Linked DNA regions of Nothobranchius furzeri. The protein of the gene in region 1 purifies or fractionates together with the protein of each later gene. This does not show direct contact. Links are inferred from orthologs where the notes say so. Each region holds a gene or a part of one and is shown in the gene's direction. Other genes may lie near its edges. The genes, in order: cand1, dcun1d3 and cullin-5.

Region 1 (3,647 bases):
GGACATCATGGCCGACATGCTCTGCAGGTCTGTAAGCACGTGTCAGGTGACCTGATGGGATGATGAGTTGTTAACTGAATATAAAACGAGGTGAAACGTTTCTGACGGGACCTCGTCTCCTCCGCTCTGGTTCTGCTTTAGGGTTGTCACAGTGTGAAAATTTAACCTCACGGTTATTGTGACCAACATTATCACGGTTTTCTGTATTATCGCGGGATTTTTTTAAACGTGTTACATTTTCAGACAACTACATAAACCCTGTATATCAGGAAAATATTGTCCTCAGTTTGTGTCTAAATTTTGCCTAAAATGTGTTATTTTGTAATTATGTTGTTTATTTGTTTACATTTTTTCCCTTTACTCTTTAAAATACCAATATTTGCCAATAACTTCTTATTTTTTGTCTGTTTGATGTCATCATTTAAAAATATTAGATCAGATGATACTCAGTACTCAAGTATACTTCTAATCAGATACTTTTTTACCCTTACTTGAGTAATAAACCCTATATCAGGAAAATATCGTCCTCGGTTTGTGTCCTTCCAGTGAGCTTTGCAGATGTGGGAAAATGTCATCAGGGAGTAATCGTTGTTAAATTCATAATTATTCTCGGAGAGAGACCAACTCTTATCTGCCCCTGGGAGTCCCGTAATGCATAGCGTCATTTCAACATGGCGGTGTCCGCGACACGGTTTATATGCAGGTAGCGGCGCTGCGGCTGCTTTATATAGCGACTCGTTGCATTCTCCCTCAAACCAAATCCTCGGATCACGCATTTTAGCTAAAGCGCTAACGTTAGCTTGCCTTGCGTTGACTGTAGAGTTGTGGGTGATGGTCACGCAGATGTGTCATGAGATTTGAAGCGTTGCTGCCTTTCACAGACACTTTTTCTGCACGTGCTGCAAACAGGATAGCCGTCTTCTATCAGCTGTCCCTCGGCATTCTTCAGATATCCAAAAGATGCCCGTACTTCCCACTTTGTCTTCTTTGAGGGATAATAAATGTCCCGAGTGCTGCCGTCTCCTCCTTTGGCCATTATTTCAGCTTTAGCTTCAAGAAAGTTTTGGTTGTAAACAACAAAGTGCGCATGTGCCGCCGGCAACTTCAGCAGATGATACGGTGGCTGGTAAGGGTCACCGCGCCTACACCGCAGCCACGGTAACCCACCGAGATAATCTAGTTTTTAAAAACAAGACGGTTATTATTATTGTCAACCTTTTCTACCGGGGTTTACCGCTACACCGGTTACCGTGACAACCCTATTCTGCTTCTGCTCAAGTTTTTTTTAGGGGAGAAAAAAAACCTAAAATCTTTTGAGGTTCTTTGATATAAATAGCTTCTGGATTGTTTATGATTTGAGTTTATTTCTGTTTGTCCTAGAATAATAACTTTTATCCCTCCGTTAGCGTGACGAGAAGCAGATTCTCGTTTACAGCTGAAAATCTAAAATCTGGTGTTGAAGTTTATTTAAGTCGCTGACCGGGTCTAAAAGGTGAAGCTGACCCGAGACAGACTCATCCCAGGCTAGTCCAGATGTTTCAGCCTTTATCTGTTACAGCTGTGATGACTGTGGCTCACAGCTGGTGAAAACCACACGTTCACAACCTCAGACAACCAGATTATTGTGAGAAGGCTGAATATTCTCTGATCAGCTGATGAGTCCAGAACAGCTGCAGACGGCTCCTGAGCCTTCAGATGCTCTCTCTGTATCTGTTCAGACAAGGCGGCCTGCTGGTGAACTTCCATCCCTCCATCCTCAGCTGTTTGCTCCCCCAGCTCACCTCCCCCAGACTGGCCGTCAGAAAGGTGCGCTTGACCTTTAACCTTTAGGTTGTGCTGAGTTTGACGGTGCCTCTGATTCGCTGTCTTCTGCTCTTTAGAGGACCATCATGGCTCTGGGCCACCTGGTGATGTCCTGTGGGAATCTGGTCTTCATCGACCTGATCGAGCACCTCCTGGCGGAGCTGGGGAGGAACGACAACATGTCCACCACCAGGACGTACATCCAGTGCACGGCGGCCATCAGCAGACAGGCGGGACACAGGATTGGTGAGACGGAGACGGGACAGGACAGGTAGAAGGTGTTTGCTTGACGCTAAAACTAGCTGACATGGAAACCTTGGCCCCGTTTGCTCAGGAGAGTACCTGGAGAAGATCATCCCTCTGGTGGTGAAGTTCTGTAACGTGGACGACGACGAGCTCCGGGAGTACTGCATCCAGGCCTTCGAATCCTTCGTCAGGAGGTAGAGGCCACACCCCGCCGCGTTTCTTCACAGCTCCGCCCCCTTTTTAAGACTTTTTATTTGCAGGTGTCCAAAAGAGGTCTACCCCCACGTTCCCACCATCATTTCCATCTGCCTGCGCTACCTGACCTACGACCCCAACTACAACTTTGATGATGAGGATGAGGATGACAACGCCATGGATGCTGAGCAGAATGATGAAGACTATCAGGGTACTGAACCAGAACCGGACACTTTGGGGTTCTGCTGGTCCGAACCCTCTGTTTTACCTGCTTCGGGGCTAAAGCCACGCCCCCAGCTGAAGCTGGTCATTCAAACCGAAATGTGCCGATCTGAAGCAGGAGGGGGCGTTGTTCTCATGTTGGACTGAATCGTTTCAGGCAGCGACGACGAGTACAGCGACGACGACGACATGAGCTGGAAGGTTCGCAGGGCGGCGGCCAAGTGTCTCGACGCGGTCGTTTCAACTCGTCACGAGATGCTGCCCGAGTTCTATCGCTCGGTCTCTCCTGCACTCGTCTGCCGCTTCAAGGTACCGCCAGACACCCAAACACCTACAGGTTCCTTCCGCCGTGACCTGATGCTCTGACGCCTGTGTGCAGGAGCGAGAGGAGAACGTGAAGGCGGACGTTTTCCACGCCTACCTGTCCCTGCTGAAGCAGACCCGACCGGCTCAGAGCTGGCTTGCTGATCCGGACGCCATGGAGCAGGGAGAAACGCCGCTAACGATGCTGCAGAGCCAGGTGAGAGCGCGGCGTCCCGCCAAACTCTGCAAGTCTGGACAGGTTGAACCCAGCTGGACGTCTCCCAGCACAAATCCACAAAAACGCTCGCTCTCCTTTTTGCTTAGCAACGTTTCCACAGGTTTAGTAAAACATCTGACAGGAATGTTATAGGAGATGGGCGGTTCCCAGTAAAACCAGCTGGAACTAAACCGGAAGGGTTCTGAACCGCAGATGGTAAAATCGGTGCGTAAGGCCGCAGTGCCGTTCCTGACCTGGAGGTGGCACTGCTGCGCCTTTCATGTGTGGTAGTCCAGTCACCGGTTCCCACGGTGACAGGAAATGCTCTCATCCTGTTGTGGGGACCGCAGACAGGTGAAACAGGAAGTGTCGTTGATGATGTCACTCGCCCTCTGCAGGTGCCCATGATCGTTAAGGCTCTCCACAAGCAGCTGAAGGAGAAAAGTGTGAAAACTCGCCAGTGCTGCTTCAACATGTTGACTGAGCTGGTGAATGTCCTCCCGGGAGCGCTGACCCAGCACATCCCTGTACTCATACCAGGTAATCCCACATGGAGCCTCCTCCTCGGGTTACTGGGTTGTCGTCGATGACCTCATCAAGGATCACGTTTGGTTTCAGGCATCATCTTCTCTCTGAACGATAAGTCCAGCAGCTCCAACCT
Region 2 (4,219 bases), on another chromosome or scaffold:
CCACTACATACATATGCACCGCACAGAGTTGGTCACATTATTAAAATGATAAACAAAAAGACATTCAGGCAGTTCAATCCTCAAATTACAATTGGCTCTCTAAGCTTACTGACCCACCAAGTGAATGAGGCAAAAGGTTTCCATTGATGACACACAATGGACGTAGTTTTTGTTATTATAATTTTGTTTGTTTGTTTTTTGGGATGGGGGGTGTCCCCCACACTTTTTTCAATGTAAGTTCTTGTCCTCTGCACTTTTAATCGTTCAAAAACAATATTACGCAATAGGAGTGGGAATGAAAATGACTAACAAGGTGAAAAACAAAGTTGAATTGAAAGCCGGTCTACTCTGTTGGGCTTAGAAAAAATAGAGCTGACATACTTGGTGCTGCAGCCTGCTTCCAGCCTGTTTCCTTCGTGTTTTAGATCATGAACACAGCTGATTTGTTTGATTTAGTGATAAATCGCTCATGTAGACACAAAGGAAGGCTGGGGAGATTTTCAGCAATTAAGATTCAAGTGTTAAAAAGACAAATGCACAGCAAAGAGATGTGTTTTGCTTTTGGTTCTACGAAACGAATACTAGGGGGTGCTAAAGAAAGCAAAACTGCCAAATGTGCCTTTAAAGCAGGATATGTAATTCAGTTTCTATGTCCTGTTAAACCTACTGGTGGCACTGAGTGCTGCGCTTTGAGGTGTGCATGCTTTGTATGAGCAGGTGAGAGATAAATAGGACATAGGAGACTGAAAACTCAAGCTTGTCAAAAGAAAATGGAAATAAAAACAGAAATGGAAATTATTGACTGTGGTTGCTTTTAAAGGCTCACATGATTGGCGTGTGCATTTATTTGAGTATTATTGATATTATAGTCTTTTTAGCTGTAAATTTGAAAATCTATCTAATCTGTAAAACTGCTTATTTAAAGGAGGGAAATTAATGATTGTTTCGCAGTTGTAGTCATTTTTCAACTGTGCATTTTAATAATTGTGGACTAAGAAGGGAAATATTTCACATAGCCCCACCAAGAATTATTTTCAGCAGCCGCCACTGGTGTGGGTGTGTGAAATCTAAACCAAGCTACTCAATGCAAATAAAATTACCCTCCAATTAAAAAATTAAATAAAAAAACTGCTTGCAGATGTGTTTTTTATACACTTGTACCACATGTCTTTACATTTTAAAAATGCAAATGAGCGCATAAATAAATCTGTACAAACTGTTTCCTGTTTTTCCATATCCAGTGTTTTACTCTGGAAAACAAAACAAAAACATTTTTCGACTTCCCCGGTCAAGTCCCAAACTATTATGGTGACAGAATTCGGTGTGACACCCCCGCTCAGATGGAGATCAGCTGTTGGCTGTTAGCACAGACAGAGGAAGTGATGCAGGAAAATGTCCATAATGTAGTTCAATGACTAAAAGGGGGAAGCACAAAGAAATAGGCAGCCTTAGTCCGAGAGTGGCTCTTTAACTTGTTTTAAACTGCGAACCAACAAAAATGAATTCCGATACAAACTCTGACTGCTAATCATTTTATCATTCCCTAAAGGTAGAATAGAGTGCGACTTTATTATGGAAGTTTTTTCTTTTTTTTTCTTTTGGTCAGCTGCCTGCTAGTTTGCTAACAATCTGACGACGAGTTTGCCTCAGTTCGTTACTGCTGGTATTTCGGCCAACTTATTTGCCCACCTTTGTTTTCAGTGACATTTATGAAGTGATGTACATTCAAATGACGCGGCCTACGTTTTCCTAAAAAGGTAAGCTTTTTGAGGATATTTATCTCGTTGTGTCAGCCGGAGAAGACTTAGCATAGCCGCTAGCTAACTTTTAGCTATGTCGACGTGGTCAGGGCCAGGCACTTTAGATGTGGATGTTTAAATGGCCCGGTGACGAGGATGGATCGTTGATCAGTAACCGATTAGCGAGTATTGCCCGACTACTTTAAGCAGTTTAAGCGGACTATTAAACAGAAACTGAATCAGTGTTTACATTTCATTTGGAAGTGCTGTACATGTGCTGTTAAGCTCCCTTGATCCTGATCAAGAGCTTGTCTGTCTCCAACAAGCATAACTTATTCAGATCATCGTTATCAGATGTGTGTTTTTAAACCCAGCAGCTCGTGCTCGGTGACAACATAGCTGCAGATATTACAATTTAATATCTGGGCTGCTCTTCGCCTCGGACAGTTTTTAAGACCAGCTAATCCAGTTAAATTGACGTCTGGATGTGTTACACGGTGATGCCTGTTTATTGTGGAAAAGGGGGCCTTTAGACATCCATCTGATGTCAGAGACTTGAAGTTGGCCAAGTTAGAAGTGTGGGAGACGTGCCTCTACATGTCCAGGACATTGATCTGTACTGGCAATTTGCCCCTGAAGCCTGACTCTTCTTATTAATGTATGACTAGTGACTTTATCAATGATCTGAACAGAGTTGAGTTTGGGTTTAAAAATCAAAGCTGTGTATTTTGCATTAAGCATTGTGAATTATGTTTCATTATAACATGTGAGACTCTTTCTTTGTGGAAGCAAAGAGTTGTACAGAAACCCTTCAAGTGGAGACACAGAAAGATTACCCCACTGTGTAAATATTGCACAATGACTTCTAACTGTCATTTTAGGGTATTTTAAAACTGTCCAATAATTATTTTGCAAGAGGAGAGTTTTGACTTTCTCTTTGTATTGACAAAAATAGTCCCTGCAGATTTGGGAATGAAGAGCTATTGCTTTCTGCTTATGATGACAATATAATGTGTCTTTGCAGCGTTGCTGATCTCAAGGTCACAATGATGGAGCAGAACTGAAAGACAATGCCATCTGACGGAGTGTCTGTAAGTGAAATTGTCATCAGCTGCTCTTTTATGATATAATGCATGAAGTCATCACATCATGTGTGTGTGTGTGTGTGTGTGTGGTAACCATGTCTGTTTTAGTAATTAGGTTAGTGGAAAGAAAATGATGCATTTACAGATTAAACAAACTACCAAATTGATGTTTGCAAGTAAAAACAAAAAGTGATTGATCTGGTTTTACTCATGAATTACAACCACATCTATGAGAATATAAAATATATGAAGCATTGTTGAGCATTCAGTCTGAAAAATGTTAATGGAATGTCTTTCTGATTTTAAAAAAATGATCACAGGATTTGTTGTGTCTGGGTGCAAAGTTACGTATCAATTTTTTAGAGTTTTACTGATAAAAGTTAGTTAAACAATCAAAACATGCAACAAACAGGGCTTTGGAAACTCTCCCTTTATGAAAAAGCAGGTTTGTTTTAAACGATCCCAGACTTCATTAGCGACATATTTCTAAAGCACTTCCCTCATTATTTTCACATGCTGCAACAATAATCTCAGCAACAACAAGACATGAGGCATCAGGTTTAGCTCTAACCTAAATGTAAACTGTAGAAACACTTTTCTGTTGGCTCCCATCATCACATCAGTCAAAGGATTACACAAAATGCTGACATGGCTTCAAGGGATATGACCCAAGTAATTAGCTTGTTCAACTAGCTTAAACAGTAACTACCTACATTCACGGACTGCACACAGTCTGATGAGACATCACCTACAAAGCTGTGTGGGTGGATGGAATGAAATTGATCTGTACATCATTCATATCCCTCATAACACAGATTTTTACTCTGCTCTCTTTAACACCCACCCTGCAGGAGCTGAAGACAAGCCCTGTGTGTTACAAGAGACTGTAACAATTCTGGCTCATTATATATAGGTCCTTCTCAAAAAATTAGCATATTGTGATAAAGTTCATTATTTTCTGTGATGTACTGATAAACATTAGACTTTCATATATATATTAGATTCATTACACACAACTGAAGTAGTTCAAGCCTTTTAATGTTTCTAATATTGATGATTTTGGCGTACAGCTCATGAAAACCCAAAATTCCTATCTCAAAGAAATTAGCATTTTTCATCCGACCAATAAAAGAAAAGTGTTTTTAATACAAAAAAGTCAACCTTCAAATAATTATGTTCAGTTATGCACTCAATACTTGGTCGGGAATCCTTTTGCAGAAATGACTGCTTCAATGCGGCGTGGCACCTGTTAAGGTTGGTTTATGCTTGACGCGTCCGCGAGGTCCGCACGGAAAAGTTGCGTCATTTTGCGTCATTTTAACAACCACGCCCCTCCACCGCGCCTCCGCACGGCCCAGAATTTCCGCAACGCGCACCTCGGAAAATTTCTAACCA
Region 3 (4,237 bases), on another chromosome or scaffold:
TCACTGGCTCCCAGTTAAATTCAGGTCCATCCTCAAAATTCTCCTCCATACCTTCAAAGCTATCCACAACCTCTCTCCTCCATATATCTCAGACCTTATAAGTATTCACACCCCATCCCGTTCACTCAGATCTTCTTCTTCCATCCATCTTGCGGTTCCTTCTGCCCGTCTCGCTACCATGGGGAGCAGAGCTTTCAGCCGCTCTGCTCCTCGACTCTGGAACTCACTTCCCCCAGACATCAGGAACATCGACAGTTTTACCCTTTTCCAATCAAAACTCAAAACACACATGTTTAAATCTGCCTACAACCTCTGATTTTATTGAACTGTTTCTCTCTTTGTTTTTTCTTGTTTGGGTTTTATTATTGTTTTATTGTATTTTATTACGTGTTTTCTGTAAAGTGACCTTGGGTGTCCTGAAAGGCGCTTTGAAATAAAATGTATTATTATTATTATTATTTTGTAAGGGCGTGTTTTGTAGGGGCCATAGGGGAGTGTTTTGTAGGGGGCGTAGTTTGTAGTGGCTGCGACTGCAGCTAGACCACTCCAGGCCCGGGAGAAAAAGACTACGCTGTTAGAACAATGGAGGAGCGGAGGAATTGTTTTGGAGGCATATTTTCTTGATAGTCGGACTATCCGTGCTCGTTGACATGTGCTACTATGGGGCATGCGCAGACCAATCTTTTAAGGCTTTGTTGAAATTTCACAAATCAGGGAAAGGTCCCACAAATCCCACACTGTGTTTTATTTGATCTGCTATTATAGTAGAATAACGTAGAACAGGTTTGAATGGTGTAGGGGCTGTACTTCTTGAGCTACAGCTGTTACAGTGTTGGCCAGATGCCGAAAAAACGCATAAATCTGGCTTTGTTGAAGTTTCACAAATCACGTAAAGGTTTCACAAACCCCAAACAAGGTTGTATGCAATCTGCTATTATAGCAGAATAATCTAGAACAGGTTTTAACAGTGTGGCTGTAGTAGTTTTTGAGCTACAGCTGTTCCATGCTGAAAAAACGCATAAATCTGGCTTTGTTGAAGTTTCACAAATTGGGGAAAGGTTTCACAAATCCCAAACAAGGTTGTATGCAATCTGCTATTATTGTAGAATAATGTAGAACAGGTTTGAATAGTGTAGGGGCTGTACATCTTGAGCTACAGCTGTGTTGGCCAGTTGCTGAAAAAACGCGTAAATCTGGCGTTGTTGAAATTTCACAAATCAGGAAAAGGTTTCACAAATCCCACACTGTGTTTTATTTGATCTGCTTTTATAGTAGAACAATATAGAACAGGTTTAAATAGCGTGGGCGTTGTTTTGAGCTAGAGCAGATTAAAGATGGTCAGAGTAGAGAAAAATTGGGTGTAATGGCCCTTTAGCCGTTTCTCGAATCGGAAGCTAACTTCAGCCCGTATATTTATATGCTTCAGCCTCGTCTTTACAACCCAATCGGTCATACACACACTCACTCATTAACACGCAGTTCAGGTTTCTTCTGTTTCAGTTTGTAGCCTCAGAAATTGCCGAAGGACTACAGATTCAACGTTTATTCACCACAGAATTTCACAGCTAGACCCCATTTTTCATTCTCGCGAGAATTTTCGAGAGGATAAGTTGAGGGAACATGGCGGCGCCGTCTAATTTGCTAAAGGTAGGAGCTGCGATTCAATATTTGGTGTTCGCCGCTCACTTAAGCGCTTGTCATTCTGTATTATGTGATGCTAGCGTTTAAATCCGGCTTTAATGGACTGTTCACAGCACCTGTACCGTCAGTGTTGACTTTAGCTGGTGGTAGTTAAGTCACATCAGGCTAACATTTAGCTGCTTGTCAGAGATTTTTCACTGGCTAAAAGAGAAGCCTTACAACATAGATAAATGCGGATTTTCAAAAACAGCAGGAACAATGAAGCAGGTCACGGAAACAGATAATGACAGATGCTAAATAGCTCATGTAGCGCCGAAACATGACCACTGGCTTCGACAGCCTAATATCATATGTCATTCAGCAGCTCAGGGGTCTGCAGCCTTTTAAGACACATGGAGCAACAGACAAGCGAATATCTGCGCATTTTGTCTCGTAAAAAATCCATCTGGAAAACCATAACATCGTATCCAGTGACTACAATGTGTTCCAGAAATAAATCTTCAACCAGAGTTTCAAAGTATCCCCTAAAAAACCATTTCTTTACATTTCCCTCAAATAATCTTGATAAATATTTCTCATTTTAGTTAAATATCTCAAACTTTTGTTTTTTAATCATCAGTCATGCACAAAACCTGCAGATGTTGGCGCTACTACTACAAATTATAGCTTGTAATTTTATTTACTGTGATTCCAGCACATTGGCTGTTTATATAGTTGACAAACCCTCCACGCCATCAACCCTAGGTTTCTAAAGAGCTGAACTGCAGCCCAGTGGGCAGTTCCCACCACCAGAACCTTGGCTGCGTCACATGGCTTATCCCTTCCAGAAAAACTAAAATGGTGCTGAGAGGGTGGGGGCAGCTGACACCATCAAGGGTAGTGTGATGGTGGCAGAGGAGTTAAGTGTCAACCCCTTAATTAAAAGGTTGCAGGTTTAAGTCCCGCTCATTCTGTTGCTGTTGTCATATCCTTGGGCAAAGCACATTGCCTGCTGGTGGTGCCAATGTTCAGCAGCCTTGCTTCTGTTACTGCACTCGAGGGTAGCTGTGGCTGCATTGTAGCTCATCACCACCAGGGTGTGAACATGTGTGTGCATGGGTGAATGACTGATTATGTTGAAAAGTGCCTTGGAGGGGCTTAGGACTCTAGGTGCTATACCAAAGACAGGCCATTTGCCGTCAAACTCTGGACTGATGTAGCTATGAGCTAACCGAAGCTAACAGAGGTGCATTTAGCCAGAAAACTGTGGCTGAGCACCTCTGCTACCTTTGCCTTATAGGCTCACACTAAATGTGAGGCTGAGGCCCTCCCAAGAGCAAGCAGGATGAGCAACATGTCAGTTAAATAGACACGCCCCAGCCATAAGTATTCATAAATTCAATTTTATTACATCTAAGTGGATGAGTTGCAAACTAAATGTACATCCTTCAGAGTTGTCATGGTGGTAAACCTGACCTATTAAACCTAAAATGTTTTTTGAACCAGACTGTAAACTTGCTTATTTTTGCTGTGAAGTTGGCATGGCAGTCAATGGGAACTTGCTCCTTTCTGGAGCCAGCCCCTAGTGGATGAGGGGGGCACAGCAGTTTTTGTCACTTTGGCGTTGGTTTCACTTTTGGCAGGCAGAGTTTCCTCCTTGTTCCAGAAGTTTGTCAAAAGCAGTGGTGCCCCCAAAGGATGCCCAGAGGGTGCCATGGCCACCTTTGGAAAATTGTTGGCTGAGGACTCCAAAGCACTTTACACTACAGTGTTTCATTCATCCATTCATACACACATTGACATGCTGGTGGGGTGAGCTAGGATGTAGCCACAGCTGCCGTGGGGCTCACTGACGGAGGCGAGGCTGCCAAGCACGGGTGCCACCGGATCTCTCCGACCCCCTCCAGCAAGCAAGGTGGGTTAGGTGTCTTGCCCAAGGACAAAACAGGAGAATTCTCTGTCCGGAGCCGGGATCAAACCTGCAGCCTTCTGATTACTGGACAACCAACCCGCTCAACCTCCTGAGCTACTGCTGCCCCCGCAGCAGTAGGTGTAGGTCCAAGGTGTAGAAGGTGAAACGAAAGGATGAGAGCACCGTACCCTAAGAATTTTTTGGGGGGTGTTTTTGTAAAAATCAGAAATAGTTTTAAAAATCTTAAACAGTACAATTTTGAAACAATAACCCCAAAAAATGTTTGAACTTTTGTCTTTTTTTTGGTTCGTGTTTCTGAAATTTGAGGTAAGTGTGTTAGACGCATGGGGCTATTGTTTTTTAGGAAAAAGAACAAAGGGGTAATACAATCTATGACTACAGGCTAAACTCCCCCAGAGTTACCAAAAGGACTCATTACGAGTGCCACCCCAAAATTTCCACTGGCCCCTCCAATGAAAGTTTTCTGGGGGCGCCACTGGTCAAAAGCTACACTTTGTTCTAAAAATCTCAGGTAATTCTTCTAATGAGTATTTCCTTAAAAGGCACCACATGTTGTCATTTTTCAAAGTTTGTAGTCATTTAAAAGTTGAAGGATCATCAGAAAATCTGGTATAAACTTGGAATTAATGCAATTGGAAACCAATATTAAGAAATGGCAGGTAGTTAAAACATGACAATGTCCAG

The links.
Region 2: the proteins of cand1 (region 1) and dcun1d3 purify together in Homo sapiens (affinity purification with western blotting; 3 studies listed by BioGRID, with this or other methods). This does not show direct contact. The link is inferred for Nothobranchius furzeri from reciprocal best matches to the Homo sapiens genes CAND1 and DCUN1D3.
Region 3: the proteins of cand1 (region 1) and cullin-5 purify together in Homo sapiens (affinity purification with western blotting; 8 studies listed by BioGRID and IntAct, with this or other methods). This does not show direct contact. The link is inferred for Nothobranchius furzeri from reciprocal best matches to the Homo sapiens genes CAND1 and CUL5.

What each region holds. Positions count from the first base shown.
Region 1 is NC_091741.1:34,350,194-34,353,840, forward strand, and holds part of cand1 (cullin-associated NEDD8-dissociated protein 1), read left to right. Parts: coding exon 1-27; intron 28-1,718; coding exon 1,719-1,806; intron 1,807-1,880; coding exon 1,881-2,049; intron 2,050-2,137; coding exon 2,138-2,243; intron 2,244-2,309; coding exon 2,310-2,455; intron 2,456-2,623; coding exon 2,624-2,775; intron 2,776-2,845; coding exon 2,846-2,986; intron 2,987-3,384; coding exon 3,385-3,526; intron 3,527-3,604; coding exon 3,605-3,647. UniProt on the Homo sapiens protein: Key assembly factor of SCF (SKP1-CUL1-F-box protein) E3 ubiquitin ligase complexes that promotes the exchange of the substrate-recognition F-box subunit in SCF complexes, thereby playing a key role in the cellular repertoire of SCF complexes.
Region 2 is NC_091756.1:31,621,278-31,625,496, forward strand, and holds the start of dcun1d3 (DCN1-like protein 3), read left to right. Parts: upstream 1-1,372; 5' UTR 1,373-1,757; intron 1,758-2,763; 5' UTR 2,764-2,830; intron 2,831-4,219. UniProt on the Homo sapiens protein: Contributes to the neddylation of all cullins by transferring NEDD8 from N-terminally acetylated NEDD8-conjugating E2s enzyme to different cullin C-terminal domain-RBX complexes and may play a role in the cell cycle progression by regulating the SCF ubiquitin E3 ligase complex, after UV damage.
Region 3 is NC_091750.1:28,012,577-28,016,813, reverse strand, and holds the start of cullin-5, read left to right. Parts: upstream 1-1,397; 5' UTR 1,398-1,620; coding exon 1,621-1,647; intron 1,648-4,237. UniProt on the Homo sapiens protein: Core component of multiple cullin-5-RING E3 ubiquitin-protein ligase complexes (ECS complexes, also named CRL5 complexes), which mediate the ubiquitination and subsequent proteasomal degradation of target proteins.